Rattus norvegicus: one gene and its partners. The main gene of each other region encodes a partner of the protein of the gene in region 3 in a complex. Links are inferred from orthologs where the notes say so. Each region holds a gene or a part of one and is shown on either strand. Other genes may lie near its edges.

Evidence for each region.
Region 1: the proteins of Dnttip1 (region 3) and Mideas are in contact, whole or in part, in a cryo-EM structure (PDB 6Z2J), measured with the Homo sapiens proteins. The link is inferred for Rattus norvegicus from reciprocal best matches to the Homo sapiens genes DNTTIP1 and MIDEAS. Residues at the interface, in NP_443183.1 of Homo sapiens: Pro63, Ser66, Leu69, Leu70, Ala72, Val73, Leu74, Pro76, Ser77; in NP_001036783.1 of Homo sapiens: Gln768, Asp771, Leu772, Thr774, Ala775, Ser778, Ser779, Ile802, Leu803, Leu806.
Region 2: Dnttip1 (region 3) and Sap30 share a complex: the UniProt entries of both Homo sapiens proteins name them as parts of the histone deacetylase complex. The link is inferred for Rattus norvegicus from reciprocal best matches to the Homo sapiens genes DNTTIP1 and SAP30.
Region 4: Dnttip1 (region 3) and Cir1 share a complex: the UniProt entries of both Homo sapiens proteins name them as parts of the histone deacetylase complex. The link is inferred for Rattus norvegicus from reciprocal best matches to the Homo sapiens genes DNTTIP1 and CIRSR.
Region 5: Dnttip1 (region 3) and Zfp541 share a complex: the UniProt entries of both Homo sapiens proteins name them as parts of the histone deacetylase complex. The link is inferred for Rattus norvegicus from reciprocal best matches to the Homo sapiens genes DNTTIP1 and ZNF541.

What each region holds. Positions count from the first base shown.
Region 1 is NC_086024.1:109,517,321-109,523,504, forward strand, and holds the end of Mideas (mitotic deacetylase-associated SANT domain protein), read right to left. Parts: intron 5,360-6,184; coding exon 5,210-5,359; exon of another isoform or gene 4,098-5,209; coding exon 3,885-4,097; intron 2,479-3,884; coding exon 2,282-2,478; intron 1,987-2,281; coding exon 1,827-1,986; 3' UTR 1,691-1,826; downstream 1-1,690.
Region 2 is NC_086034.1:37,760,136-37,765,349, reverse strand, and holds the end of Sap30 (histone deacetylase complex subunit SAP30), read right to left. Parts: intron 4,493-5,214; coding exon 4,367-4,492; intron 4,020-4,366; coding exon 3,921-4,019; intron 1,861-3,920; coding exon 1,738-1,860; 3' UTR 1,525-1,737; downstream 1-1,524. UniProt on the Homo sapiens protein: Involved in the functional recruitment of the Sin3-histone deacetylase complex (HDAC) to a specific subset of N-CoR corepressor complexes. Capable of transcription repression by N-CoR.
Region 3 is NC_086021.1:173,897,964-173,904,591, reverse strand, and holds the start of Dnttip1 (deoxynucleotidyltransferase terminal-interacting protein 1), read right to left. Parts: upstream 3,502-6,628; 5' UTR 3,449-3,501; coding exon 3,344-3,448; intron 3,277-3,343; exon of another isoform or gene 3,195-3,276; intron 2,821-3,194; coding exon 2,750-2,820; intron 1,889-2,749; coding exon 1,792-1,888; intron 1-1,791. Other genes in the region: Wfdc3 (WAP four-disulfide core domain protein 3 precursor), read left to right, coding at 6,503-6,581. UniProt on the Homo sapiens protein: Increases DNTT terminal deoxynucleotidyltransferase activity (in vitro). Also acts as a transcriptional regulator, binding to the consensus sequence 5'-GNTGCATG-3' following an AT-tract.
Region 4 is NC_086021.1:78,585,179-78,591,060, forward strand, and holds part of Cir1 (corepressor interacting with RBPJ 1), read right to left. Parts: intron 4,561-5,882; coding exon 4,487-4,560; intron 3,894-4,486; exon of another isoform or gene 3,869-3,893; coding exon 3,858-3,868; intron 3,766-3,857; coding exon 3,701-3,765; intron 3,375-3,700; coding exon 3,326-3,374; intron 1,786-3,325; coding exon 1,668-1,785; intron 1-1,667. UniProt on the Homo sapiens protein: May modulate splice site selection during alternative splicing of pre-mRNAs. Regulates transcription and acts as corepressor for RBPJ. Recruits RBPJ to the Sin3-histone deacetylase complex (HDAC). Required for RBPJ-mediated repression of transcription.
Region 5 is NC_086019.1:85,897,724-85,903,605, forward strand, and holds part of Zfp541 (zinc finger protein 541), read left to right. Parts: intron 1-669; coding exon 670-728; intron 729-1,050; coding exon 1,051-1,210; intron 1,211-2,789; coding exon 2,790-3,108; intron 3,109-5,882. UniProt on the Homo sapiens protein: Transcription regulator which is essential for male fertility and for the completion of meiotic prophase in spermatocytes.

The DNA of each region.
Region 1 (6,184 bases), on a different chromosome or scaffold from region 3:
GAGATCCTAAACTTGTTGCCCTTCTACTTCTGAGGGGACCAGATTTTTGTAATCTCGGGACTTTGAGTTTATAGAAGCCTGTGAAGGAAACAAGCAGGGAAACTGAAGGTTAAGTAATTGTTCAGGTATCTAGGGGGACTTTTTTGTTATTTCCATAGGCAGCTCTCATAGAACCATACTCATGCGTAAATGAATGTTAAGAAACACCCAATAGTCCGTAGCTCAAAGACAAAAAACCCCATCTCTATCTCCAGTTCCCAACAGGGCTGTAGACTATTGCCTAGGGAATGGTGAAGGAATCCTTTATAGCTCTTACTAACACCCTGAACAGTCCGACACACATTCACTTAGACTTCCTTCTGTACAACTAAAGTTAAGTGGTCATATCAGAAAAGTAACTTTAAGTCTCCTGTGGAACTGGAAAGTGAAGGGGCCTCTAGAACATTCTGACCCTTCAGTAATTCCATGCCAAATATGGTTTCTTCAAGCCAGATTCCAGGCTGATAAATAAAACTAGAATTCTGGCCTCTTGCCAACTCCCTCCAGCACTTGAGAGTACAGAAAGGGCAGGACTGAGCCCTGCCTTTGATCTCACCCACATCTGCTAGTTTCCTGTGACTGAGAACACTCCCAACTTCCCAGTTCCGTCAGTTTTTATCACTCCTGCACCTAAGAGTCACAAAGTAAGGGACCCCAGGGCCTTGGAACTGGGGGAGGATTTGGAGATGCCAAGAAGGTGCCTTATTTTGGGATAAATGCACTTGGACCTCTGGAAAGCAAGAGGCCCCTGGTCCCTGAGGATGTTAAAAATTAAATATTAAGAAATAAATAAATAGTTCCCAAATGACAAGTCAAGGAATGAAGGCTCCTGTCTCATCTAGTTAGGAGACATCCCCCTCCCAGGGAAGGATCCAGAAATCTCCAGCATGCCGTATTGGGGGTGGGGGGTGGGGGCGTGAATATCAGCATCAAATAGGGTACAGTGGGAGTAACTGGCAGCTACTGAGAACACGACAGGCAAGAAGGAAGCTGGCACCCAAGGCCAGGCCAGGCCTCCCTGGGACCTGCTTGAGGCTCCTTCAGCAGCCTCCTGGACTCAAAGATATAAAATGGTAGCCATGGGCTTGTCCAAAGGTCCCTCAGGCCTAGCTCTGCACCTTCAGGCCTCTGAACAGTTCCCCTCGGTGTAGCAGGCTGAGAGTGGGGCATGAACTCCAAACGTCTGAGAAAACTTTTACAGCCCCAGATGGGCTGTTGACAAGCAGCAAAGGGGTTGAAATAGCCCTCCGAGATCCCGACTAAGGAAGTGGTGACCTTAAGACTGGATCGTTGGAGCAGCTCTGGCCTGAGCATGATTTCACAAGGTCAGCACAGGGATTAAGGCCACCACTCTCTAGGGAGCCCCCTTTGGGTTTAGGAAAAGGTTTGCACAGCCTTCCAGGTCCTCTGGGGAAGGAGGAATAATGCTGTCACAGGGTGAGCTTGTGCTTGGCTTGCCGTGGTGGCTTCCTAAGGACCTGGGATACAAGAGGCACAGATGCGACAGCAGAGATCAGAGAAGTAGCTCAGAGCTCTTTCCCATTCCAAGGGGCCTGGCCTCTCAAGGCTCCAGGAAAGCAGAACGACTCGGGACAAACCAGATACTGAGAGAACTGGATCCTGCAGCCCTTAACACTGTCCTTGGCCTTCGTAAATAAAAGAGCCTGTTTATTTTTCATTATTTGATTTGTTTTGCAAAGCAAAGTCCAAGTGATCCTCTCCTGGCCTTCTCTAGAGGTTCCAGGTACAGAGTTCTGGGGAGCCCGGCAAGAGGATCCAGCAGGGCCTCAGCCCTTCTCGCCTTCGCCGCTCTCTTCTTTCAGCGCCTGCTGGTGCGCGGCGGCGGCTGCAGCCTCCTTCTCCTTCAGTCTTAGAGCTGCAGCCTTCTTCTCCTGCTCTGCGTGACTCTTCATGTGAGCACTGCGGCTCTTCACCTTATAAAACACCCTGCAGCGGGCAGGAAGGGCTCGGGTGAGAGCCACCCCTTCACTCTCCTCCCTCAACCCCAGCCGGTCCCCCCCCCCCCAAGTCGCTACCCTTAGCCCGCCCACTCGGGAGTTTGTCGCTCCGCCCCTCAAACTATGCCTGCCCCACGACGTCATGACCCTGGAAACCCAAGGAGCCAACCAAAAAGCAGATCCCCAGAGCCCCGCCCCCAGCAGCGTTTAAATCCTCCGCTTGCGTCCAAGTCCCTGCCCCAACCTTAAAAGGTTCCTGTGAAGACAAGGAAGGGACTTCTTACCTGCCACACTTTTTACAAGGGAAAGTGTTCTCCTGGTTTTGGGTTTTATTAAATGCCTCCGGTTTTTTCTTCTTCTCTGTGAAAGGCAGAGCCCTTCGTGACTTCCCCGGCCCTTCCCTTGGCTTCTCTGAGGTCTGAACACTGGCAGACCCCGGGGCATTGGGTTCGTGGCTCCGGAGAATGAGGACATCATTGGCCTGGAGACAAGTGACAAACAGGGTGTGTTTTAGAGGCAAGTGTGGAGCCAGAATTCTGGCATTTCAGGGAACAGGGGGCCCTAAAAAGTCACACATTCCTGCCAAATAGTCAGGGATAGGACCACTTGGCAGCTTCAGGAGGCAACTGCAGCTGGCCCTATCCCAAAGTGGTGACACATACTTCTGTGCCACGTGCTGGCAGTTAAAGCCATTAACACTTCTGACTTTGCTCAGGGGGGAGGGGTGTTGTTGTTGTTGGATTTTTGTTTGTTTTGTTTTGTTTTTGACATTTAGTCCAATCATATCTCAATGCCAGAGAGACGTGTTCACATGATGTACCAGGTGGTAAGGAAGTCAGCCCTGTCCCCAGAAAGCTCCCATTGTAATGAAAGGGACAGATGTGATGGTCACCTGCTGAGAAAGTGGGGAAAAAGAAGAGAGGGAACACGTATCAAAGTAGAGGAGCCATGGTGTACACACACCCCAAGGTATCTGCTTTGGTCTCAGGCCAGAAACCCCAGATGGCCATCAGAAGTGGTAAATGTGCCCTGGGTCACCCCTCAAAGTGTCCACAAAGACAGCAGAACTGGACAGCAGACACCACACGGCTCCTGCAGGCCAGCAGTGACGCTCAGGAAGCAGGCAGCTGTGTTTGGCTGACTGGCGTTCTGCAGGTAGAGTGCGCAAACGCATTCCATCTCTCCCACTTCCAGGGAGAGTTCTTCTGACAGGGAAGCTAAAATGAGATGCCTCGCTCAGTCCGTGAAGGAGACAGCACAAAGACCTGGGGTATACCTTCAACTAAGTCAAACAGCATCTCCGACCCTGATTTCCCTCATCTGCTGAGTGGGAGGGAGCGCTGTGCGGCTACTGTGAGGGGTTGGTAAAATAGCGGACATGAAGCACTCAGCCAAGAACAGAAAGGGCCATTATTGGGGTTCACAGTCTCAGCTCTACTCCGGACACTCTTGTCAAGCACGTGTTCTAGGGGAGCCACGAGTGAGCTTCAGCTTCGGAGTGCTTCCCCTGTGCCGCGCAACCACTGGGTTTTCTTCTACAAGGCCTTGTTCCTCTGAATCTCAGACAAACATTTATACAGTATGCCCACGCACGTATATACATATAATTACATGTGAATACATTTTTCGTAATGGGAAGATAAGCTGCACACTGAATCAGGCTGTCGACAAGCTACATAACCTTCAACCACCAGTTTGCTTGGCTGTAAAATGAGACTCATAACAGCCCTGACCACACAGGGTTGAGACCCAAGTAAGTTACCAGCATAAAGTACCTTGGTCTGTCACCATGAGGGTCACCGTGGTCTTGCTGTCCTCCCACCCACACCCCAGGCCTCACGCTGTCTTCCTGCCCTGCCCTTGGGGGGAAAGGTGGAGGTCACTTACCGCCTCAGTGGGCTGTAGTGTCTGTGTAGCTTTGACAGCCGCGGCCCGACGGCTGCGCTCTCGCCCCTCCTCCTGCTCTCCCTTTTCCTGGGTGTCTGGTACCTCCTCCTCCCCCTCCTTCTTGGGTTCTTTCATTTCCCTCTTGGGTTCCAGCCTCTCTTCACTTGGGGACTCTCTTCTGGGAGGAAGCACCCTTGGGAACTTCTGAGAAGTCTATGGGGACAAGAATGAGCTCAGTCACCCGAGAGGGCCGATTCTGATCCGGCCAAGGCTCTGGAGCACCAGCCCGGTCTGCGGCCCTGCCTTGGCCCAGTCCAGCCTCTTGTACCGGACCTCTGTCATAAGTCACAGCTTTCCTATGGCCCCTTGGCCTGGAAAGAGGATGATAGTTTTGACCCTGGGTGCTCTCAGGGTGAGACTGAGCCAGGGGTTTGGAGGGGGCATGCCAGGACCCACAAACCACCTGGCCTCCTGGATAGATGCCCAGAATCTTTTGAGCACCCTTTGGACAGAGTGACCTCGTGGGCCAGGCAGGAGCTCTGAGCTCCAGCTTAACTGTCTGTGACACATTCTGTATCTCTAACTCCTCATCTGCCATATGGGGACCAAACTACTCCCTGATTTCAAAGTAGAATGCCACCAAGTACTGACTTGTAATTTAGAGACAACGTCAAGAGGATTCATGGGTGCAAAATTAAATCACAGCGTCTTTCAAAGACCAAGTCAGGGTTGGTGTTAATGTGCCTCTTCCCTAGACTTGACAATCTGCAGCCAGCCCTGTCTCAGAGTCCTGGCAGGCAACTGCAGCGTGAAGCTGGCGTTTAGTAACCGTGTTGGTTTTCATGTGTACTTAGTTTTCCCAGTACCTTCTATTTATAAGCAACAAAACTGGTTTCTATTTATGACTGTAATATAAAGCTTCCCTTTTGAGAAAAAAAAAATGAGCTGACAAAAAAAAATTAATAATAAAAGTTGTATGGGACATGACAGGAACAGTAATCGTGGTGTGTGTTAACACACAGACAAAGCAGAAATCATAAAGGTGGTACAAGGAGAGCGGGAGCCCGGATGTGGCCTGAGTGGTCTGCTCGGAGGAGGCAGTAAGATGAAGCTGTGCCTCAGACTCTCCAGTGTTCTACATCAGCACCATCACTGTGACCTGGACAGTCAATGCCAGAGAGCTCAAAAGGTTCAGGGCCTGGGCCACCAACCAGCTCCCCGGAGCTCTCAGGGACCTGCTCTCCTCTGACAGCCCTGTATAAAATGCCAGGAGTCTGGCCCCAGGTGTTACCAACAGTGAGGCGGCAGAGCCAGGAAGGACTCACCTTAACGTCCACCTCGACTTCCTCTTGGCCGGACTTCTCAGCACCGGTATCCAGGTCACCAAAGGTGAGTGTCCCGTTGCGGCCAATTTTCACCTGTTTCTTGTAGGTGTAGTAGAACTCCACGCACTGAGCCACAGTCTTGGTCTGGATCTGAATTAAAGCCAGAAGGGAGGTCAGAGGGAGCTGGTGTGGTTCACCTTTCTCATCGATGCTGGTTCCCTTTAGCCTTAGGCAAAAAACTAAGTCCCAAACCCCAAATTCTCAATGCCTGCTCCACAACGAATCTCAGGCCAATGCAATTAATGGAGGCTTCTGCACCATTGCAACGAAGGACCAGAATTTCTGGGTAGATTTGACTGTGGACTAGAGAGGACCGTGACCTATGAGAGTCCCAACATGAGAGGCTGCACTGGGCCAGCAGGGGCTCAGGAGCCCTGGCTGCGTCGGAATCTGTACCCTAGCAGAGTAACTGAACTCATTCTTATCCCTCAAGCTTCTTGGAAGTTCACCTGGCTCCTCCTGGAGCCCCCAGGTGAAAAGGGGGCTCATCGTTCTGCTTTTTGATATGTATTAAGTGAGGTGATGTCTAGACCATCTCCACAGGCCTCTCAATGTGCCTTCAAATTGCTTGCCAATGCTTAGGGAAGTTTTATTTGAAAATAATCCTCCTGCCCCTGTGTTAGCATTGAGTGTGTGGCCTAGCACATGGCTAGGCGAATGCTCTACCATTAAATAGTACTTCTAATCCTACCCCTGATTATCTAGGCTGGCCTTGAACTTACTTTAGTAGTCCAGGCTGGCTTTGAACTTGTAATCCTCCTACATCATATTCCCAAATAGCTACGATTACAGGCCTATACATCCAGGCTCAGCTGTAGCTTACATTAAATGATTTGGTGAAACTGAGGGGGCGGGGGAGAGATAGCTCTGTGTGTCTCTGGGTCTGTGTTTAGATGCACACAGGGAAAGAGAAGA
Region 2 (5,214 bases), on a different chromosome or scaffold from region 3:
ATTGCCACCCTCCCCCCAACAATCTAGTTCACTGGGGTTTCAGTCTTAGCAGGACTCAGGGCTTCCCCTTCCACTGGTGCTCTTACTAGGATATTCATTGCTACCTATGAGGTCAGAGTCCAGGGTCAGTCCATGTATAGTCTTCTAAGGACGTTTTAAATGGTGCTAAGAACCAAACGCCAGCTACTCTATTTTCTGGTCAAGAATGTAACCGGAATCTAAGCAGACTCCCCTCCTTCATGGATCGGTACTGTAGAAGTGTACTTTAGCTGTTTCTCAGCTCCTGCTCCATTTTTTTTTCCAGCTGGTGACCTTTGGTGGTCTTTAGTACTACACCTCAGAGCTATTGGCACTAATAGGTCAGTGTCATGAGTGGCACTTGTTCATCTTCCTAGAGCCAGGACGTCACAGGTTCAAACCTTCGTCTTGAATAAGTCTGAGTTACTTTAGTAGTCATATTCATTTCCAACCTAATTTGCGTGCATTCTTAGGACATTTTCCTGGAGCTGTTTTTGCTTTTGACAAGCTAAAACCCTGATGCGTGATGCTAAGCATTTAGCCAAGTAATACAATCCCATGAGGGAAAAAACATTGCAAATCAAATGCCAACGGGGAATGAAGCATAAAAAAATATAAAGCAGTGCCAACCCTTAAACAAAGAGCTTGTTACACACCTAGACTTCTCCACCCTCAGGCAAGGTTTGCTATATGCAGTGTGGATGTTCTCTAATGTGTGGTCCTCCTGCCTCAGCCTCCAGAGTGCGGGGATTACAATCAGAGCTGACCAGTTTTATTAGCATCATTTGCATGTGAGAAGCAAATAGCCAGAAGGTGCGTTTGTTTCTCTGTTCAGGTCACCTTGGTTTGAGGAAGTAATTAGCTCCAGGCCTTCGGCCCACTTGCACCAAGCACTGCACTTAACTTTGCTGGGGTGTTGGGGTGTCTTTGCTGGGGTGTTGGGGTGTCTTTGCTGGGGTGTTGGAGTGTCTTTGCTGGGGTGTTGGGTGTCTTTGCTGAGGTGTTGGGGTGTCTTTGGAAAGAGAGAGGCACAAAAACAACTTTTTTTTCCATAGGTCCTCAAGGAATAACAACGCATAAAGGGAAATTTAAAAGTGATTGAAAAGTAATGAAAGACTGATTTTCACATTTGCTAACATACATTGTAAAGCACTTTAAAAAACAAAATGCTAGTCAGGCAGTTGGCGGTGCCTGCCTCTAATCCTAGCACTCAGGAGGCAGACACAGGCAGATCTCTGAGTGGGAGAAAATCTGCTGTACAGAGTGAGTCCCAGGGCATCCAGGGTTACACAGAGAAACAAACAAAAACAAAACAAGAATGCTTAATTACAAATCAAATTGGCCTAGGGAAGGCAACTGGGTCATGTCTGTCATTCCTCCTTTACCTTTAATTACTTGGAATTTTAAAGAAAGGCTTACAAAATAAGATCCTTTCCCTGACATCTTAATGCCAGCCCCAGAAAGCTTCAAACAAAAACAAAGTTTCATAAAATAAACAGGCTGAAGTAGCTGTAATAGTAATAACCTTTATTTAAAATATGTTTAATCTAGGAAGCTCAGTTTATATGAGTTTCCAACTAATTATCAGGATCAAAAACGACAGCAACAAAAACAAAAAGCCAAAGAAAATCCTCTGTAGAAAAAATACACAAGAACGTTTCTACATCGGAAGAACAGTAAACACTCTTGACAGCAGACGTCTACGTGCGGGCATCTCTCCTAGTGGACACCACTGTCCGCCTTGAGATCTGATTTGTTCTTGTCGTTCCTCACTGAGTAGATGAAACATGTTAAGGTGTCTTTTTCATTCACTGGAATAGACTTAAAGTGGCAACCAACTATCTATAAATTAAAAAACAGACAAATTAAGTTAGATAGAGCAGACACTGGGAGCCGAGTAGAAGACACTACTTTGCCAACGAGTTATGTGACCACATGACACTTTTAAAGATTAAGCTGTCTTAACAGAGTATCAACACGCTCCAAAGCACACACAAACAAGATATTATAAACAAAAGAATCTGATTTCAAAGAACTCAATATGCTCTGACTCTGTGTATTTTACTCCCTTTGGTCAACTTGATTAATGTGCACCTGTTATAAGTATTTTCTCTTTAAACTTTACAACTTTAGATTGCAAACTACATATTCTTTTTTTCAAGAAGATTTATTTTTTTGTTTGTTTATTTATATGAGTACACTGTAGCTGTTTTCAGACACACCAGAAGAAGGCATCAGATCTCATTACAGATGGTTGTGAGCCACCATGGGGTTGCTGGGAATTGAACTCAGGACCTCTGAAAGAGCAATCGGTGCTCTTAACCACTGAGCCATCTCTCCAGCCCAAGCTACATATTCGTAAACATTAAATATCAATGAAATAAAACAGAAGAACTGATGTCCATCACATGAAGACATTTAGACATTTAGAGTGTAGTCACAGGAAAAGATTAATAAAAAGAAAAAAAAACCTTGGTAATAAACCATACCATAAATATCATTGGTGCAATTGATATTAATTCTTCTTAAGTTTCTTGCAAATTTTTCTGAATAAAATTTAAGAATGGAAAATTAAAGGAGCTGGAGGGATATTCAACAGGACTGTTTCCCTGACTTTTACTGCACAAATCTAACATGTACGCCACAATTACCAACAGCTGAGAAACCACGCAGCTGATATTCGTAGACTGAAGACTGCCTGCTTTTCTAGAATCGGAATCTGAACTAATAAAACTGTCTTTCAAGACTAGATTTCAAGGGCTTTGAGTTTGAGTTCTATATTTAAATATAACTTTGCATCAGATCCTGGCTATTTGTTATAGAACGGGGTGACTGTACTAGATTAGTGACTAGTATATTTTATTACAGTAAGGAATGTCTTCACATTTATGTACTATGCAGCCGAAAAAGGACGAGAACTTTTAAATAAATTTAAAGAAAAAAATATTTTTGTTGCCTAGGCAAGAAATATAGGAGATTTGGCTTGTTAGCATACTGAATTTTAATGTTAAAGAGCTTTTCTACAAAAAAATGTAACTCATTTATCTTTTACTTCTGCACATTAGAAATGCAGGCTAAGTATTAAAGTCCAGCTGAAGAATACAGGCACACTCTTACATAAATATGTATGTGTTGATTCACACATACAGACTTCTGATGTGTCTATTCCATGGAAACGTTTGCTTTGAATAAAAAGTATAATTACTTAAATCTGTTATTTTAACCGTTCACAGATCTTGTGGCTTTATTACTTCTTCAACACACACACACACACTCACTCTCTATTAGCTTCTGAAATACACCAAAGGAACTAAGTCCCATATAAAACAAACTTTATGTTAAAGCTTTATTTTTGTTCTTTCTCTTGATGTAAAGAAAGTATCCTCTACTTAAAACTCCTAACAAAGGCAAATGTATCTGAAAGTAAAGCTAGAAAGTAATAAAACCCTGCAGACTTGTTCCACAGAATCTCTGAAAACTAAATTCTAATAAATACTTATAAGCTATTTATTTTCCATCCTGCAATGGAAATATTCCATTTCAATTCCACTCCATATTTATATTCCCTCAATAAATATTCATTGAATAATTAGAAATTTAAAACAGAATTCTAGAACGATGATAAAAATTTCTTATTGAATATTTACTCTAAAAATCACTATTAAAAGACGCTGTACATACTCTGAATATAATCCACTGAGTACTCACTGAAGAGATTTTTCTCAGTGGCAGACAGATGTTTCTAAAGATCTCTACTCTTCCACGATAGGCCTATTAACTTTGACTTTACTGCATGTAATGTACTATTCAGTATACTGCATTTCTCTATTTCATCATCACCTAGTGATACCTTGTTGCTGTAAACAGGATTGTTTCCCAGTATAAAGCATATTTATATATACCTCAACAAGTTGTGCTTTATTTAGACCTGGTCTGGTTGGAAGCTTGAAGTGTCTTTTGTATCTTCTAAGTGTATTTACTTGTAATTGGTACAAATCAACCTAGAAAAAAAATAACATGAATTAGATCACTCTGCTAAAAAGATATCACTGATCTGTATGGCACTTCACATGACTTCATTTACAAAATCAGACCTGTAATTTATGAAACAATTCCATCTTTGGGGAATACATATTATAAACTTTTGGAGAAATAAAAGGGGAAGTTGTATATCAAGAACTATAAGACTGTCATCTGAGATTTAATATTAATATAAAGCCAACTTACTGGCTGTATTTAATTTTGAGATTTCTCAGATGCTTTAAATGGTTAAATATTTACAGAACGGTTTTGGAGTTGCCAGTGTGATTATGATTGACAATTCACTATAGAAAACCCTGCGGTCTACCTCTGGAGTGTCGATGTCCTGAACAGGTGAGTCTCCTCCATCATCATCGCTCCCTTTCCTCTTCCTTCTGTTTCGAACACTCTGAATTAGGTTCTTATGATAGTCACAAATGTAAAGATGCCTTGCCTGGAAAGGACAAAGAAAGGTTAAAAGACTGTGAGTCCAGAAAACTAAGGTCAGTAAACTGCACAGGCCCAGGCAGCTCACTAAAAACAGTCTAATGGCACTGGCAAGAGGATGCATGTTTCTTTCCAATACTAAACTGCTGTAACATTAGCAATCTGTGATACTGTTAAGGAGATTGGGGGAGGGGTGTAGTAGAAAGTGATGGGCTGGTAGGAAGAATGGTTGGAGAACTCAGGCAGGCACCTGGCAGGCAGACAAGCAGAGGAAGAGAAATTCCAATCCTCTGTGTTTTGTCACCAAATTGCATCGAGGGTGACCTAAATAAGTTAGCTCCTGCTGGTTTTGACTTAAGGGGAGAGGTGACATTGCCCACAATTTTGTACTTGTTAGTATTTTCTCTAACTTGAGAACAGCAAATTATATTAATGGCACATATGCTTCCTTATCTTTCTAATTAGATAGTCAAATTCTACACAGATACAAAGTATGCATTTTTTTACGAATGTGTCATTGAATTCATATTCATATCCTATGTTTAAATTTCAAGCCCCAAGGTTTCTTTTCAAGAATTAAATGAATGCATTTCACTGTATTATGTTGTTTTCAATTAAAGCAAATTGAAATTATTCACGTTCACTTACAAAGTTTCTCATGGACCCTACTGAGAAACTGCCCAAACAGAATCACAAATAAACTTTTCAAAAAAATGTAATTACTCAGGC
Region 3 (6,628 bases):
AAAAGGCTTCTGACAAAATAAAACATCATTTTGTGATAAAAATCCTGCGAGAGATGGAATGTATCCCAACATAACAAAGGCTACAGATGACAGACCTACAGCCAACATCCTATTAACTACAGGAAACTCAGAACTGAAATCAGGAACAAGACTCTCCACTCCCATTCAGTACAGTAAAGTCTCAGCTACAGCAACCAGACAAGAGAGACAAAAACAAAGCACACAACAAGGAAGAAAGCAGCCAGCGGAGCTTACTTGCAGATGAGGCTTTACACTCCAGAAAACCATGGGATTGACAAGCACTTTACACACCAGAAAACCATGGGATTGACAAGCACTTTACACACCAGAAAACCATGGGATTGACAAGCACTTTACACACCAGAAAACCATGGGATTGACAAGCACTTTCAACAAAGAGGCAGAATTAAAAAAAAAAAAATCAACATTCAAAACCCTACAGCCTTTCTCTACACTGCCAGCAAAGAGGCTGAGGAAGAACTCAGAGAAATCATTCCATTCACAATTATTACAAAATAAATCTTCCAGTAAAGCTTTAAAAACAGAAGGAAATTGGTGAAGACCCTACAGGATGGAATGACACCCCCCTCCACCCCCCCAGCTCATGGACTGGAAGAATCAATACTGTGAATTGGCATTACCAAGCAATCCCCCTCAAAATGCACAAGTGTCTCTAATAAGAACAGGCACCCTAGCTCTGTTTTTGAGTAGCCCAGTGGTCACCTCTTCTTTTCCCTCATTCCCTACCACTGTTTAAAGTGAACAAGGGCATTATTTGTTTTATACACTGTCACCATCTCAGACATGCCTGACAATATGCTAATCATGAGTTACTATTTTTTCCAGTGTTTGGGATCAAACTCATGGCTTTATACTCATGGCTTTAGACTTTTCATGGTCTAAGCAAGGGTGTTGAATACATTAAAATGAAACCATTTGGCAAAAAAAGCAGTGGAAAAGTTATTGGGGTGTATATTCAGAATGGAAGCCTATTTCCTCTGTGTAGCATGCATGTGAACAGAGACTGTTGACAGGAGGAAGGACCATCCTGCTTGGAAGTACCCTCTATCTCCCCACCTCTTTTCTCTTCTTTCTTTCCTGATAGGATCTTTCTATGTAGACCAGGCTGACCTCAAACTCCAAAGATTTGCTTGCTTCTTTCTCCTGGGTGCTGGGATTAAAGGTATGTGCTACCATGCCTGGCTTTTTCTAAGAATTTTTAAAAAAAATTATTTATTATATATATGAGTACACTGTCGCTGTCTTCAGACACACCGGAAGAGGGCATCGGATCTCATTACAGATGGCTGTGAGCCACCATGTGGTTGCTGGGAATTGAACTCAGGACCTCTGGAAGAGCAGTCAGTGCTCTTAACCTCTGAGCCATGTCTTCAGCCCCACCAGGCTTTTTCTAAAAATTTTTCAAAAAATTTTTGTGTATGTACCTGTGGAATTTATACTCCAGGTATAATCTGCAGAGGCCAGAAGAGAGCACTGGATCCTGGACCTGGAGTTACAGGTGGCTAGGAGTGGCCTGATGTGGGTGCTGGGAACTACAACTGAGTCCTGTGCAGGAGCAGCAAGCACTCCTAACCACAGAGGCTGTGTTTTCCAGCCTCCATTCTGTTTTTCCCTCGTCCAAGGGGTCTTACTGTGCTGCCCAGGCTGGCTGTCAGCTGCCTCAGCCTCCTGCATGGTTGGGCACACTGCAGCACCTGGCTGTACGATCTTGTTCAGCAGTGCTGTTGGCTTTAATCACCATGTCCTCACCTTCATGTACTTGTTGAAGACACTCTGGATCTCCTCATTGATGCTAGGCTGCAGGACAGCACGGAGGAGATCCATAGAGATGGCTGGATCTGTGAAACTGCATTTGGGGGTGGGGGTGGGGGAGACAGAATCAGGGGAGTGTTCCAAACATACATTCCCAGATTACTCAGCCAGTTGGCGACATGGGATTTTAAATTTTTATTTCATTGTAACTCTGTGAAATGCAAATTATTTTCCAAGTGTTTTTTTTTTTCTTTTCTTTTTTCTTTTTTTCGGAGCTGGGGACCGAACCCAGGGCCTTAAGCGCTCTACCGCTGAGCTAAATCCCCAACCCTTTTCCAAGTGTTTTATGAACTATAACATATACACATATATTTTTTCTTTTCCTTTTTCTGAGACAGTCACACTATGTAGTCTGGCTGTCTCAGAACTCACTATATAGATCAGGCTGGCCTTAAACTCACAGAGGTCCACCTGCCTCTGCCAAGCGCTGTAATTAGTAAATGATTATTAAATCATTAATAAATGATTATCGCTACCCCAGGTCAAAAATACAAGAATTCCAAAGGCTCATACGCAGTTTTTCCCCTTCCCCAGACCGGACACTCACTAGTAGTCCCCTGTCAAAGCTGAGAAAACAGAATCTAAGAAAAGCTAAAGGCTTGCCCGAATGTATCCAGTTAACAAACATCAGAGTCTGCATTAGAACAGATGCCTGAAACTTGAATTCACAGTCTCTGACTTACAGATCTCAATCGCTGAGATGGTACTCGACTTTTTATTCCTTCTCTGCTTTGTAGAGGAGTTAGGGCAATAACTGTCAAGGTTACAGGAAGTTAGAGCACCGGAGTCTCTCTTCCCCCGATTTCTGTGCTCTTTCTACGTGTTGTTGATCTCAAATTCCTGCAGTTGGGGGTCTCAAAGCACTCAAAGTCCACATAACGGATATCGGTCTTACCTTGTGGTCATCTGAGATCGGCGGCCTCTTCGCTGCACCTGCCGGTGTTTGATCATTATGTTCCAAGGGTTCTGTGGGGACCAAGTGGGCAAATGTCACCGAGGCCTCTCAGAGTGAGGATGAGGAGAAAGTGAGTATGGAGCGAAACCTAGACGTTCCTGCTTCTCACTTCTCCCACCTTGGGGTGAAGGGGAATTCAGTGGCTGGAAGACCCTGTCAGGGTGGAGGAACTGGGAAAATGTTTTCTGTCACCAATGTCCAAATCTCGCTTTTTCTGGAAGAGCAGCAGCGTTTACCGAGGGTCTTATGAGGCGGGTGAGTCAGGACGTTCTACCCGCCTTTATCAGCCCATCCCACCACAACTCCATCAAGCTCGGGTTAATGTTGTTCATTTCACAGAAGAGAAACCTGGCGCCCAGAGGGTGTCACATCAGGCCCAAGTCACCTAACTAGACTCTGAATCCGGGTCGTCACACGGAGAAAACGGCACCCCCAGAGCCGCACAGCCGCCGCGTTCTTTCGCCCGCGGGCCCGGGGCCCGGGAGCCCGAGGCCCTGCCCGGCCCGAGCCCCGGCCTCGCCCGGGCGCCCTCACCGTGAGAACCGGCTGGCCCGCCGCGCCCGCGTCGCCCAGCTCCAGGCCGCCTCGCTCCGCCCCGCCGGGGCCCCGCGGCTGCTCGGTGTCGCCAGTCGCCCCCATGGCGCCCCCGGCCCACAACAACCTCAGCTCGACTCAGTCACCGGAAAGCGGCGCCGTGACGTCACGGGAGCGCCCGAGCCACCCGGCCGGAAGCGGGATGCGGGTGCTCCGAGGGTTGCTATGGGAACCGAACTGCCGCCTAGGAGCCGCGTCTGAGTGGTTTTCTCGATCTTTGGTGTAGGGCACGACGTCGGGGCTTCCGGATCTCTGGGAGAAAAACGGCTGGGGACCGAGTGTGGGTGTTCGGGTCCATTCAGTCAAAGGACGAGGGCGGGTGTGAGGGCAGCAGAGCATACAATTCAGCTGGGGAGCATAGGACTTCGGATGAGGGCAGTCCGAAGTTCAGTCTTTGAAAACCGCAGGAACATCTGAAAACTTGGCCCAGCCTCTCCCGAATTGGAATAGTCCGACTCAGGAACCAGGAAAGCCAACAAAAGAAGGGCTGCTGGTGCCACCCGAAATGCCCAAACACCTAAGCACCCTATCACTAGCCTTTGCGGGCTGCCGCTTGTGTCGGAAGGCAGCAGAATGAAGGTTGGGTTTGGGCTTGCAAACTAGTCCTGTTCTGGAGAGCTGACCTTCTCTCCTCTAGATGGTTGATTCTGGGATAGGTAGGGGACAGAGGATTTAACAACTGTGGCGTTCTCCAGAGCCCCCCTTAGCATTGTCTCAGAGGTGAGCTGTCCGTGAAAGAATTGGATTCATTTACGGGTGATGAAGTTACTCTTCTCGGGTTACAATAAGCGGGTAGCGTAACGTGTACGAGTTTTGTGTGAGGAAAGATCTAGATTCAAATCTGATGTGATATGATCATAAATGCTGGATAGGGCCTGGTGTGATAACATAACCCCAACACTGAGGAACAAGTAGTAGAAAGCTCACTCTGTGCAGCATAGCAAGATACTGTCTCAAAGTCAAAGCCTAAGAACATTGGCTGCGGGACTGGATCACCTACCGTTGTTCTCCTGCGTACTCACTCATTGCACGATCATTCTTCCACAGTCTCAAATGTTCCAGGCTGGACTCAAATTCACCGTGTAGCTAAGGAGCGGCCTTCACCTCCACAGTATGCCGCACCATGTTTGGTTTATGTGGTGCTGGGAATTGACCCCAGAGTCACATGGTTGATATTAGGGCTGGGTTATTTTATACAAAGCACTTAAAACTACGGTACAAGCAACTCCTTAGATTATTCTAATACAATAGTAATTTTCAGCCTCCACTTAAGGACGTTTTCCTTTGAAATATTATTGTGTGGGTTAAAGTACTGTACATAAAGTCCGTATTAGATAATAACAATACCAGTTTTTTCCATGTTCCAACATCCACTTTTTAAAAGGTTTATGTGTACAAGTGTTTTGCTAGTGTGTGCGTATTATGTACATATGTATCTACGTACATACATCATGTATGTGCCTGGTGTCCGCAGAGGTCAGAAGAGGGTATTGGATCCTTTGGAAATAGAGTTATGGATAATTGTAAACTTCCGTGTGGGTGCTGGGAACTGAACCCTGGTCTTCTACAAGAACAACACAGGCTCCCTGAGTTCTGAGCCATCTTTCTAGCCCCAACACCCACCTTTTAACAAGGGCACTTCCTTGCTTTAAATGATGGTGGCTCCCCACCTCCCACACCCTGGGCAAGAGCCTACTCTGTAGCTCTAGGCTGGCCTTGAACTTTGGCTCAAGCCGGTTTTGTAATTTACCTGCCTTTCTCTGCCTCCCAGAGCCTGGAATCACAAGTAAACCCTACCATGCCTGGTTTTGGATCTATGAAGATTTTTTTGTTATTTTGTTTCTACCTATACTCTGCCCCTAACCTTATTGGGCTCGGCAGTGTCAGTGGACACCATTAGACATCAAAGCCAACCGAGGACACACGCTATGCAAATAAGAAGAAACAGGGGAAAAGGAGACAAAGGAGACATGTGAAAGAGTCACAGCAGCTGTCCTCTCTGAGTTTGATGACTGCCCTTCATTTTGTCTAAGAGTGGCATGTGTGGTCTTATGGGGACCAAGCTGCAAACTTTTTGTGCTCTTGTATCGATGCTGAGACACTCTGATGCTGCTTTCCCATGGGTTGTGACAGTTCCCAGAGATGGACAGGAATCGTGCTTAAGTTATATCCTTAGCTCGGCTATTTTCTTCTCAGGTTGTCCATCCAGTTCTTCCCTCTGTCTAGAGGCCCTTCTAGATCCTGTGGACGGAACAAGGAACACAGAGCTTTTTGTTCCCTGTCAGGGTCATTCTTGGCAAAGCCAGCAGTGGACTGGTGCCAGGGCTCTGGGGGGCTGAGACCAGGTTTCCATGTAAGCTGTGGTTAACTGTTCCAGACCCTGAGGTATGGAATGCTTGCTTACCGTACCAGAATACACCTTGCAAAAAAGAAGCTAGAGCTCCCTGCAGTCCTGCTGATTTCCCTGTAACCTTGCTGATTCGTATTCTGCTGCTCCATCCGAGGCTGTGTAAAGAACTGTGAGGATAATCAACTTGCTGGCTTGAGTCATCAGCCCTCGGCCCCTCACACCCCCAAGCCCCAGCTGTGGACTGTTCATTTTTCTCATCTCTGGTCCTCTCCCTCAGAATCCCAGTGTGAACCCAGCAAGAACTGCTGGTCTGGTTCACCCTCTGTTGTTTTGACTGCAACTGAATCCTTCCAAAGCCCTTCTGGTCTCTCTTTGACCTTTAACCCAGAGGCTACCTCTCCATTTTTCCAGCCTCCCAGGGGACCTCATCACTTGTTATGTATATGCGTACATAACAAGTGTTATGTAGATATCGACATAACAAGTGCTATGTGTATGTCTGCATAACAAGTGTTACGTATATTGCATGGCAGTATTTGGTCCCTCCCATCACATGTGCTCTTTGGTAGTGCCAGGAAAGTTCCCACACACCAGCAGCCAATCACTGTTGTCATTGTTAGGAGAAGCTGTTCTTAGGGGATAATTGCTTAAGTGAAACCGTTGGGATTAGACTGACAGGAGCCACCTAGTCCTTCCTTCAGCTGCTACCTCTTCCCTGAACCGAGCTCTCGACTCTCACAGTCAGCAGGATGTTAAGATACCTCTTCCTCATGAACGCACTTCTTGCTCTTGGGCTCCTGGCATCTTGGGTAGCTGCAGGAGAGCACGGTGAGCTATCATTTGGGGTCCTTGGCTAAAACTAATAGAAAGTTAAC
Region 4 (5,882 bases), about 95 Mb from region 3:
GTTTGAGGCCACTCTAGGCTACACTTAAATATGTCAAAACTAGCACTGTTTGCTCTTTCAGAGGTCCTGAGTTCAATTCCCAGCAACCACATGGTAGCTCACAACCATCTGTAATGGGATCTGATGCCCTCTTCTGGTTTGCAGGCATGCAGGCAGAACACTGCATATAAAATAAGTAAATAAATACATAAATAAACAAATCCGTCTTTTTAAAAAATGTCAGAACTACCTCAATACTGCCCACCACTTCAGTAATTGGTTTTAAAGTAGAATACGTGTTCTACCAGGGAGCTCCATGACCATCCCTGCACACGTGTTACATAAATGCTGACTTTGCTAACACCTTACTGATAACATTTGTGTTACTTCTAATCTTTAACTACAAAGCTTGTGTTTTGCCGACTACGGCATCTCCCTGGCCCTGTTTTTAAAGTTATTTTACCACTACGTCAATACTAGATATATAGTGCTTTTTTTTTTTTTTCTTTTCTTTTTTTTTTCGGAGCTGGGGATCGAACCCAGGGCCTTGCGCTTGCTAGGCAAGCACTCTACACTGAGCTAAATCCCCAACCCCATGTAACCTGTTTTATGCTACAGAGGTAAGCATGTTATTTCCACTGTGAGCTGGGCTTTGATGAAGAACTAAGAAGGTCCTGAGGAGTTTCAACTGAAGCTTGTAGGTCAGTGCTCAGCTACTGCTGAAGCACGCTGCGTACTGCCAAGCTCCTCCTCGCCATGACGTTCACAGATTCCACCTTCTGAGATGGTAAGTCCCAAGTAGTGCTTCTTCTCTAAGTTCCCTTGGTAATGGAAATTACCCATTCAAAGCAATAGAAAAGTAGCTAAAACGCTAGTCCTCCTACCACAAGAGAGATGTGGAGACAGGAGACTGCCTGGAAGCTTACAGACTAGCAAGCCTGGAGTAGACAGCATCCAACACAAAGGGAACTTGTCGTAAACAGTGAGGAGGACAAGGCTGACAGCAGCAGAGGGTGTCCTCTGCCTTCCTCATGGACACTGGCCTCCACTCTTCCCGGAACTCACACATTTGCATTCATATGCACAAAAGTGTACACACATGCGAACACACACACACATACACACACACACACACACACACACACACACACACACACACACACACACACACAGTGAGTTTGGGGCCAGCTTGGTTTTTATGAGACCTTGCTTAAAAAAAAAAACAAAACAAAAAAACAGAACAAAACAATAAACAGAGTTCACACAGACACTTGGCTAAAAAAATTAAACTCTTGCAGAGCACTTCAAATTTAACACATGGGGGTTGGGGATTTAGCTCAGTGGTAGAGCGCTTGCCTAGCAAGTGCAAGGCCCTGGGTTCGGTCCCCAGCTCCGAAAAAAAGAAAAAAAAATTTTTTTTAACACAGACAGCGAAGGATTTCCCACTTACTCCTCTTTCAGGGAGGCAGGGAGGAGCGAGTGGCATGCTAGGGCCTGAACCCAGGACCTCATACACATAACACACAAAATCCTCTACTGCTGAGTCACACCACTGGCTCTGGTCATTCTATTTGGGGAATGAAAATTAAACTCAAGAGCAACAAAAGAGTTCAGGTAAATAAAAACGTTATTTTATCTTTCCTTTTTTGACAAAATTCTAAAACAAATAACTTTTGTCTAATACCTACCTGAGCCATCAGTAGGAACTGAACTTGCATTGATCCCGGAAAGACCAAACAAGGGGCACTCTCGATCTGTGTTCACATGGCCCCACTTGTGACATTTAATACACCTTACATTTCGAACCTGAAAAATTATAATAAACATTGTTTTGATTCTCATCTCACTTAGATCCCCCACCCTGCTTTTTTCTTTTTCGCTCTGAAGACAGGTTTTATTATGCAGCCCTAACTGGTCTAGAACTTGCTTTGTGCATCAGGTTGGCCTTGAACTCACAGAGATCCATCCACTTACACTTCTAGATCATTGGGATTAAAACATGTACCACCACATCTGGCTAAATTACTTTTAAAAAAGATCTCCAGGGAAAGCAATTCTATAATTATAGTAGGTAATTCAATGTAAATACTAAAATCTTGTTATAAAATGTCATCTAAAAAAGAAATGGTAAAATATCACAAAGAGTCATGGCATGGTTTAATGTTATGTTCCCTAATCTTAATACCCTCATTTAAATCTTCCTCCTCCCTCGTTACACAGGATAGCCCAGGTTACGCTTTCCATCTTCTTGCCTTGCCTCTACCTTTCACACACTGGAAAAACAAGTCATGCCACCTACCCAGCTACTCTTTCCTTCTCCTTTCTTTTCTGTCCTGCTCCAGCCCCTCATAACACACAAAGTGAGTGTTTTTTCACTGAGCTATTATTTCAAGCCCTGACGTTTCACATTTCTAAGCCAGTGGTGAGCAAATCTACTCTGTAAGTAACAACGCTGTGTTAAGCTGTGTCTGTTTGCAGCCACTCCGCTCTGCTGCTGTGACAGACGCAGCAGGGAAGCTGCTACAGACATCGCACATGACTGAGCAAGGTTTCTCACGGGATCAGCCTGGAGTGACAGGTGACTGTTTCTGAATCAGTAATCCTTTTCTTAAAGAAAATTATTGGTTATTTTATTTACTTACATTTCAAATGTTATCCCCAGTAATGTTTATATTGACATCTTTTCTCGACCTTGAGTCAGTTCTCTATGACTTGAAAGCCGGAGTGACCGCATCATTACCCCTTCACTAGCTTGATCCTCGTCTTCCATGTGCCTAGCACGGTCATGTTTTCTCCTCAGTCCGATCATTTGACATAATATAAACCACAAAGTCCTTTTTGAGCTTAAACACTATGATGCTAATCTTGGCTGGCAACCTCCCTACATATGGAATCAACTCAAACTGTTCTACACTCCAGTGAGGGATATTCTTGATCGGATTATTAAACCTGGGCCACACAGGAAGAATTCAGAGACGGAAGCTTTGAGTTTTGCTTGTTTGCACTCTTTCTCTCACTAGCAAGTTCAAGTTGCTCTATCCTGTTGCTGCTCATATTAAATCCAACTTCTTCAAGATTCCAATGCAGACTAAAAAGACCAGCAGCTCCCTAAGAATCCTCCAGGACTGCAGACATTCAACCTCATGGACCAAACAGCTGACTACCTGAACACATCCTCTAAGGGAGCATCATAAATTCCTCTCCTGTGTGTGTGTGTGTGTGTGTGTATTTCTCATCCTATCAGTTTTGTTCTTTAGAGAACTCTAATACAAACATTTTGGGGAAAATAATGTAAAGATACATGTGCTAAATAAAATTATTCTTAAAGAGTAAATGTGCCACTTGCCTGAATACCAAAGGGCTGATCTCTGATGTTCATGTCATCTTTAGCATATCTGTTAAGTACAAAACAAACATATGACTAAGAACAACGTAACAAATTCAATCAGCTAACCCAAAAAAGGTTAGTTTTTAAACATTATAAAGTGTATTATTACTATAAAATAAAAAACCAGCATCAATTTTTAAGTCTGATAATGTAGTTTTAAAGAACGAGCAAGCACATAAATCCAGGCTTGGATGAAGCACACTGTTTGCATGAGGTAAGTCATTAAAACACCCTTTCAAATTAGTCACTTGCTCTGGTGAGTGAACCTTAACAAGCAGGAGGCAAGGAGGACTGGAGACAGCCATATGCATTCCCCATAAGAACCAGTCTTACTTTTCCCTTGGAGCACCTTTCTGCCATTCGAACTTGTATTCTGTCTCTCCTTCCGTTTCTTCTTTCTACCACAGTCAGTAAAAAAAAAAAAATCTGTCAACTGTCCATAAAATCACAATCAACTATAAATCAATTCAAACAGAGAAAAGTACTTTACCTCTTTGTTTTCTTGATTGCAGATTCAAAGCACAGGGGGAAAGCAGGACAAGTTAGAAATGTCAGCAGAAAAGTCTACCTTACCACTGAAGGATACAATACAACATTGAAGTATCGTTCAGAATAGTCATGTTAACTCCTAATTTTTAAGCTTTTATGTTTTCACTGGCAGTGATAGACTTTGCATTTGAAAATGTATTTTAATAAGGACTACAGATATGTTTGCACTGTGAAAGGGCTGAACGTTTATCTGCCAGTACTGAGCATTCCCCCAAAGGACATAAGCTACTACATTGGAAACTCTTTATTTTACTTTGCTTGTGACAAGATTGTCAGAGCAACAGCCATGGAAAAATACAAATACCCTCTAAAAATACTGTCTCGGGCTGGAGAGATGGCTCAGTGGTTAGAGCACTGACTGCTCTTCCAGAGGTCCCGAGTTCAAATCCCAGCACCCACAGAGTGGCTCGTAACCACCTGTAATGGGATTAGATCCCCTCTTCTGCATATCTGAAGAGAGTGATAACGTACTCGCATTCATAAAATATACAAATAAATTAATTAAAAAAAATACTGTCTCCTCTTCCAAATCTTTACAGGCAATTACATCAAAGTGCAAAGGAAAGATACCTTTTTTAACTCCTGGCGGGGCTTCATACATGAAATTCAGGCCGTTCTTTACACGCTCATCTCCCATAAGCAATCTGAATGAAATAACGATAAACGGTTCAGTCAAGGAAGAAGATGACCACACACTATCTCAAAAGGAACCCTGAAGAAATCAAGACAAACCCTGAACAGTGCTACCTTACTGGAGACTGGTTGTGTCAACCTGAGGCTTCCAGTCTCCCTCCAGTTCTCTCAGTAAGAAAAGAAAAAGATGATGTAGTTATTCTAATAAGATTTTCTTTAAAAATGTACTCTGTTGCTGAAAAAGTTTCGAAATCCTACATGCCATTAGATATTTTGGTGCCACAACCTTTACTTAAAAAAAAAAAAAAAGAAAAGAAAGAAAAAAGAAAAGAAATGTAGTTAATTTCTTTCTGGCTTTGTGTAGCTCTGGCTGTTTGGAAACTCAGGTTGTGGACCAGGCTGGCACTGAACATATAGATATAGATCTACCTGCTTCTGCCAGAATTAAAGGTGTACACTCCATGGTCAGCTATTACAGTATTTTTAATTGTGGGGTGTGTGTGTGTGTGTGTGTGTGTGTGTGAACATGTGCACACGTATGCGAATGTTCATGCACGTGGAGGCCAGAAGTTAAGGTGGGGTGCTGTTCACCTTATTTTTAAGTCATTCTGTGTGGTATGTAGAAGCATGTCTGCATGCATGTAAAGGTCAAAGGACAGATCTGTGGGAACTCTTCTCTGCTTCTTCCTCTATATGGGTCTCAAGAGATTGCACGTGCCTGATCCATCTAGCCAGCCCTCCATCTCACTTTTTAGACAAGGTCTCTCAATAAACCTGGGCTTCCCAATGGCTGGACTAGAACAGTTAACCAGCACGCCCCAGGAATCTTCCTGTCTCTACCCCTAGAGAACTGGGATCGAGGCACCTCTCACACATCTGTTTTCTTATGTGGGGGCTGGGAATCCAAACTCAGGTGCCGATGCCTGCCTGACAAACACTGTACAAACTGACCTACCTGCACAGCCCGAGAGCCGGATTCTCTAATGAGAACAAAGATGAGGTTTAACAAAATTCTGTAATAGGCTAATACAACGAATGCCTCCAACTTTCTTAGATTTTTTGGTAGTGATTGAAAACTCCTTCTGTAGGTTTTGTGCAGAGCATGCTGTTGGGAAAAGAAGTCCACTGAAGACAGGATGACTCTGCTGCGTTAAAGATAAATGCCTAAAGTCCAAGTATTAGAAAAAGCTAAAGTATGGAATGTCTTTTTATCTGGAAAAGGTAACCACAAAGGGTATACTACATTACTGTGTGTGATTCTCCTTTCTCCATTGAATTCTACAAAAAAACTGTTAAAAAATAAACAGAACATACATACACATCTTTATCGTAG
Region 5 (5,882 bases), on a different chromosome or scaffold from region 3:
GAACTTACAGAGATCAGTTGAGATCAGCCTACCTCTGCCTCCTCTCAGTGCTGGGATTAGAGACTGTTTTGTGGGTGCATATTCTTGTTTCTCTTGGCTAGACCCAAGGACTGGAATCATCAGTCTCTTGCTCAATGTTTAAAGAGTCACCAGACTACTTTCTAGAAAGCAGCAGTTTTCTAGTGCCTCTGCTGTGCACAAGTGCCCTGTTTCTCCATGCTCTTTGCTGTGACAGTCACACTAGGCTATGCAATGATATCTGCTGGTGCTGCCACTGTCATGCCCTGGCATTGCTGATGTTAGAATCCTTTCCTGGGCTTATAGACCAAGTCTTATTGACTTATACACGCAGGTGTGCGCGCGCGCACACACACACACACACACACACACACACACACACACATTGTGTATGTACATCAGACATCAGACATCAGACATGTGACTTTCTCTTCCATTGTGTGGACTGCCTTTCCATCTTATGTGTGAATATTTGTGGGGTTGAAGCTTTCAGTTTTAATGAGTCCAGTATGTCTGTTGGGTTTTCTGCTTTGCTTTGGTGTCAAATCTGAGAAATCATTGCCCAAAGCACCATCAAGCAGGCTTCCCCAATGCTGTCTTCCTTTTTCCCTTGTCTGGCCTCTGATGGCTCAGATATCTTCTCATCCCCAGGGTGGAAACATCTACAGACTCCCCCATCCAGTGAAGGAAGAGAGCTTGGCAGGCGGATGGTAAGTTTAGGAGCTCTCATGCCCCACCAAAGCACTCCACTGGAAAGTCCTCTAGACTCTCTGTACTGTCTAAAGAGTGAGGGAGCCAGATGCCTCTAGCCCTGCAGAGGACATTTCAGCCCTTGGAAAATTGAATATGGTCTTCCATTTTCATTGTTTAGTACAAGTTTTCAGTGGATTGGGGTTACATGCAAAAAAAAACAAACAAACAAAAACAACCACAAAACCCAAACCAAACCAATAGCGAAGACAGCAACAACAAAGCAGCAGTCAGGGCTAGAGCCTCATTCTCCCATTCTCCCTCTGCCTTCTCTATCAACAGCCATCAGCCAAATGGGACTCCCACAGATTGGATGGAGTCAAAGAGCACTTTTGTGTGCAAGAATTGCAGCCAGATGTTTTACACAGAGAAAGGGCTGAGCAGCCACATGTGTTTCCATAGTGACCAGTGGCCATCACCTCGAGGGAAGCAGGAGCAACAGGTGAGGGGCAAATGGTGGCTTCTGTAGCTGGGTTAGACAGGCTTTGGAAGTGGATGAAAAGACAATGCCATCCATCTCAGGTTAAAGGCAGCATACTGGCAAGGATGCTGGGTGACATGAGGGCCAGCCAGGACCATCTGGCAGGCTGTAGTAGCCCCACTGGCCCTTAGTCAGTTTTGTGTACTTCCTATGTCATCAGGAGCCACTCTTCTCCCTAGCTGCTCCTTATCTTGGAGCTACCAACTCTGTATGCTCAGGTATCTGGCACAATTTTTCACTGAGGCCTGCTGGGGACAGGGGTCCCCAAAAGCCAAAATGTCCTTGGAAAGCATAATCATAGCTAGGGAACTCAGCCAAGATGGGTGCTTCTCCAGCTGCTGTTTCCTAAGAAAATCCCAAACCAGAAACACCCAGAGGTCCTCACTCTAGAAGCCTTGGTTTGAACCCACGGTCAGCACTGGCTGAGCCCTTATCAGGCCTAATGGTGTGAGTGCTGGTGACAGCACTGATATTGACAGCCCAAGTCTTGACCCTGGTCAGCAATGACCCAAAATTTGCAGAGCTGGGATGTGGGAGAAGAAGGAACTGAGGGCCCAGGCAGGAAGGTATGTCAGAGCTAAGACCTGGAAGAAGAGGAAGGCCGGCAGGGAGGAAGGAACAGTAGAAGATATGAAAGTCATTATGATTTCAGTGATGGATCTCCCTTATTATCTTTATTACTGGACCCTGTGTCAGTGCTAGGCCAGTGGTGGCTCATAAAAGACACAGGCCTCTGGGAGAACACATTATTGTTGCCACAATACTCTTGTTTCTTGCTCCCATTCTTTTTTTTCCTTTTTTTTATGATTTTCTTTTCTTTTTTCCTTTTAAGATTTATTTATTTTATTTATTTGAGTACACTGTAACTGTCTTCAGACACACCAGAAGAGGGCATCAGATTCCATTACAGATGGTTGGGAGCCACCATTAGGATGCTGAGAATTGAACTCAGGACCTCTATAAGATCTGTCCGTGCTCTTAACCACTAAGCCATCTCTCCAGCCCTCTTTTTTTCCTTTTAATACATTTTTTGTTGTTTTCTAGGTTTTTATTTGTTTGTTTGCTTGCTTGCTTATTTATTTTGTGAGACAAGGTCTCTATTATAGCCTTGCCTTACCTTGAACTTGCTATGTAAATGGGGATAACCTTTTACTCCACTTTGCTTCTGCCTCCTGTGTGCTGAGATCAAAGGCATACACCCTGTATCTGACTCTCACTCTTGGAATGCTTGGCACTTGAGCCACTGAACTGCCCCAGTGTCTTCCTATATGACTGTATGAGGAGGCCCCTGAGCCTCAGGATGGCACCATACTGAGTATGTTAGTCAGTTCTGGCTCATGTGGGTCTGGGCTATGAATAGAAGAAGGTTCTACTCAGCTTCCTGTGCTAACCCTGGGTATGGCCATGGCAGACATATATATCCTCCTCCTCTCTGTCCCTATGAGAAGCCCCATTTTCCCTTCCCTGAACAAGCTGAAGACTGAGTTAGTATAACAGATGGTCTCAGGTGACACCTGTGGTTCTGTCCTCTCTTCTTTAGGGACAAGAAAAAGACGGGGAAGAGAGAGACAGCAAGGAGAGCAGCCAATACAGAAAGAGGAAGAAGCGGCCCCAGCCCAAGGCCCTGTTTGCCCCTCCTGCACCCTCTGCCCTTGGGGAGCCAGGCCCAGGAGGGTGCCACCAGAGCTGCCTACGCTCTCCTGTGTTCCTGGTGGACCACCTCCTCAAGGGCTTGTTTCAGTGTTCTCCCTACACACCACCACCTATGCTTAGCCCAATTCGTGAGGGCTCCGGGCTGTACTTCAATACACTCTGCTCCACATCCAGGGCTGGGCCCCACCTTGTCAGCCCTGTACTTGGTGAGTGAGGCCAGAAAGCTACTCTATTCCAGGCTAAGGTGCTTCTCCTATGGCCCACAATCCCTGTGCTTTGCTGTATATGATCCAGCCATTCTTTCCAGCCTTGTATGTGCCTGTTCTGGGGGGACTCAGTGCTACTCAGAAACATACCAAGATGATTCTTCTAGATGTTTGATTGGTTTAGTTTGGCTTTGGTTTTGGTTTTAACATCCAGAAAGAACACATAGAAGCCCTTCAGCCTAATCCCTCTTGTATTCATTTTATAACCACTCTATGGATACAGAGATACACACCATGCAGATCAGCCATTTCAAGCTTGTGCTTTGAGCTTATTCTCTAGCCGCTGAGCTTCCCTGCACACAATCTTTAGAGGGTTTTTGCCATCCAAGAAGCCTGTTTTCTGGGCGGCTACACCACCCTTTTGGCTTTCATTCTCACAGTCCTATGTATCTCCCAGCCTCAGGGAGCCACTCTAATTCCTGTCCCTATAGCCTTTCCTATGCTGGTTATTTCATATAAGTGACATCATACAACTGTGGCTTTTTATGTATCCCCCATTTTACTTAGTTTATGTGTTCAGGGTTCACCAGGTGGTTGTGTGTGTCAGAACTTTTTTTTTTTTTAATCAGTGAGTAATAGTCTACTCAATGGCCAGACCACTCTTTTTAATTATCAGTTGGTAGGTATGGGTATTGTTTTCCTTTTGGCTATTGTAAATAATACTGTAACAACACTTGTGTATAACTTCCTGTGGGGGTCTATGTACCAATTCCTTTTGTGTAAATACCTAGAAAGAAATGCTGGGTTACATGGAAACTCTATTTAACCATATAGGAAACTGCCAAACTGTCTGCCAGAGTATTTGTTCCATTTTGGATTCCTGCCAACAATCGGGAGAGTCTGGATACCTCTGCCCCTTACCTGCACTTACAGGCTGTGATTCTTTCTAGCCACCCAGTCAGATGAAAGATGCCTATTGTTATGTTTAGATTTGTATTACCCTAGTGGCTACTGGTGCCAAGAATCTTGCTGGGTGTTCATTGACTATTGGTGTGTCCTTCTTTATAAACTAAGGAGATCTGGCTATTCTCCTAATGTGCACTGGGTTTTATATGTGACCACTTGACTGGCACAGAGTAATGAAGAGCCATTCCTGTTTACTCTGTTGGCAGGCAGGCCTTGAGTTCACACCCCTCCTACCTCAGCCTCCGGAGTAGTTAGACACATAGTATTATATTTTTTGAGAGTTTTATAATTTTGGTTGGTTGGTTTGGTTTGGCTTGGTTTGGCTTGGCTTGGATTTTCAAGACAGGATCTCTCTGTCTAGCACTGACTGTCCCGGAACTCACTCTAGATCAGGCTGGCCTCTAACTCATAGAAATTCACCCGCCTCTGCCTCCCAAGGGTTGAAACTAAAGGCATGTGCCACCACTGCCCAGCTATAATTTTGACTTTTAAATTTATATCTTTTTTTTATTTATTCATTTTATATATGATGAGTACACTGTAGCTGTCTTCAGACACACCAGAAGAGGGCATCAGACCCCATTACAGATGGTTGTGAGCCACCATGTGGTTGCTGGGATTTGAACTCAGGACCTCTGGAAGAGCAGTCGGTGCTCTTAACCACTGAGCCATCTCTCCAGCCCTTAAATTTATATCTTTAATCAATTTCCAACTAGATTTGGGATATTGTATGAGATAAGGATCAAAGTTCATTATTTTGCATGGATTCAATTCACTCCAGGATTGTTTGCCAAAAATATCATTCCCATCCTATTTAAAAAAAAAAAAAAGCCTAGGGTAGTAGCATACACTTGTACTCTCAGCACTAGGGAGACTGGGGCTTTCCTGGTAGGCAGTTTAGCCTGTTTAGTGAACTGTAGGCCAGAGAGAGATCTTGTCCCAGAAAACAAGGTAAGTGACGTCTGAGGAATAACATGTGACATTTACCTGAGCCACCCCCACTTGCACGCTTTTCCGCATAAATGTGCACTTGCACACACAAACACACACCTCCATTAATTATCAGTGTGTATGGTTGCTCCTCAGACTAGGAGTTCTCTATTATCTGCATGCTTATTCTTACGCTGCTACCATAATGCTTTCACTACTGTGGATTTGTGTACGCTTTCTAATAGGTGTATTTGAATTCTTATGTTGTTCTGTCTTCCAGGATTGTTAGCTGCCATGGGTCCATTGCATTACTATAGAACTTTAGATCAGTGGTGATTTTGATGGCTACTCTGTTTAATATGTAGATACATCGGAAAGTATTACTATCCTAAATAATTTAGACCTTTCTATTCATGATGGCCTGGACCATCTTCCCATTTATTGAGGACTTGTGGCACTTTGTCTCTCATTCTCCCAGGGTGTGTCTTACATATCTTTGCTTGCTGCTGTTTTTTGAGATAGGATCTTTATACAGCCCAGGGAGGCCTGGGACTCCCCACTCTCCCACCTGTGTCTCCCAAGTGATGGAAAGGCAGGCACATGCCACCATTTGCTGTGCAGTAGACGTCTTTCCTTAGAAGAATCCATTGAGATTGGTATTCATGTAGTAACTGTGAAGAACAGAGACACTGCCTTCTCCATCTCATGGGCCTTTCCTGTTCCAGCTGTTTCCTAAGCAGATGTGTCAGCAGACTCCATTCTGAACTGTTGTCCTTACAACTGTATGTACATGTATATACAGGTATACATGTGTGTTGTCTTAGGGTTTTACTGCAGTGAACAGACCCCATGACCAAGGCAACTCTTAGAAGGACAAC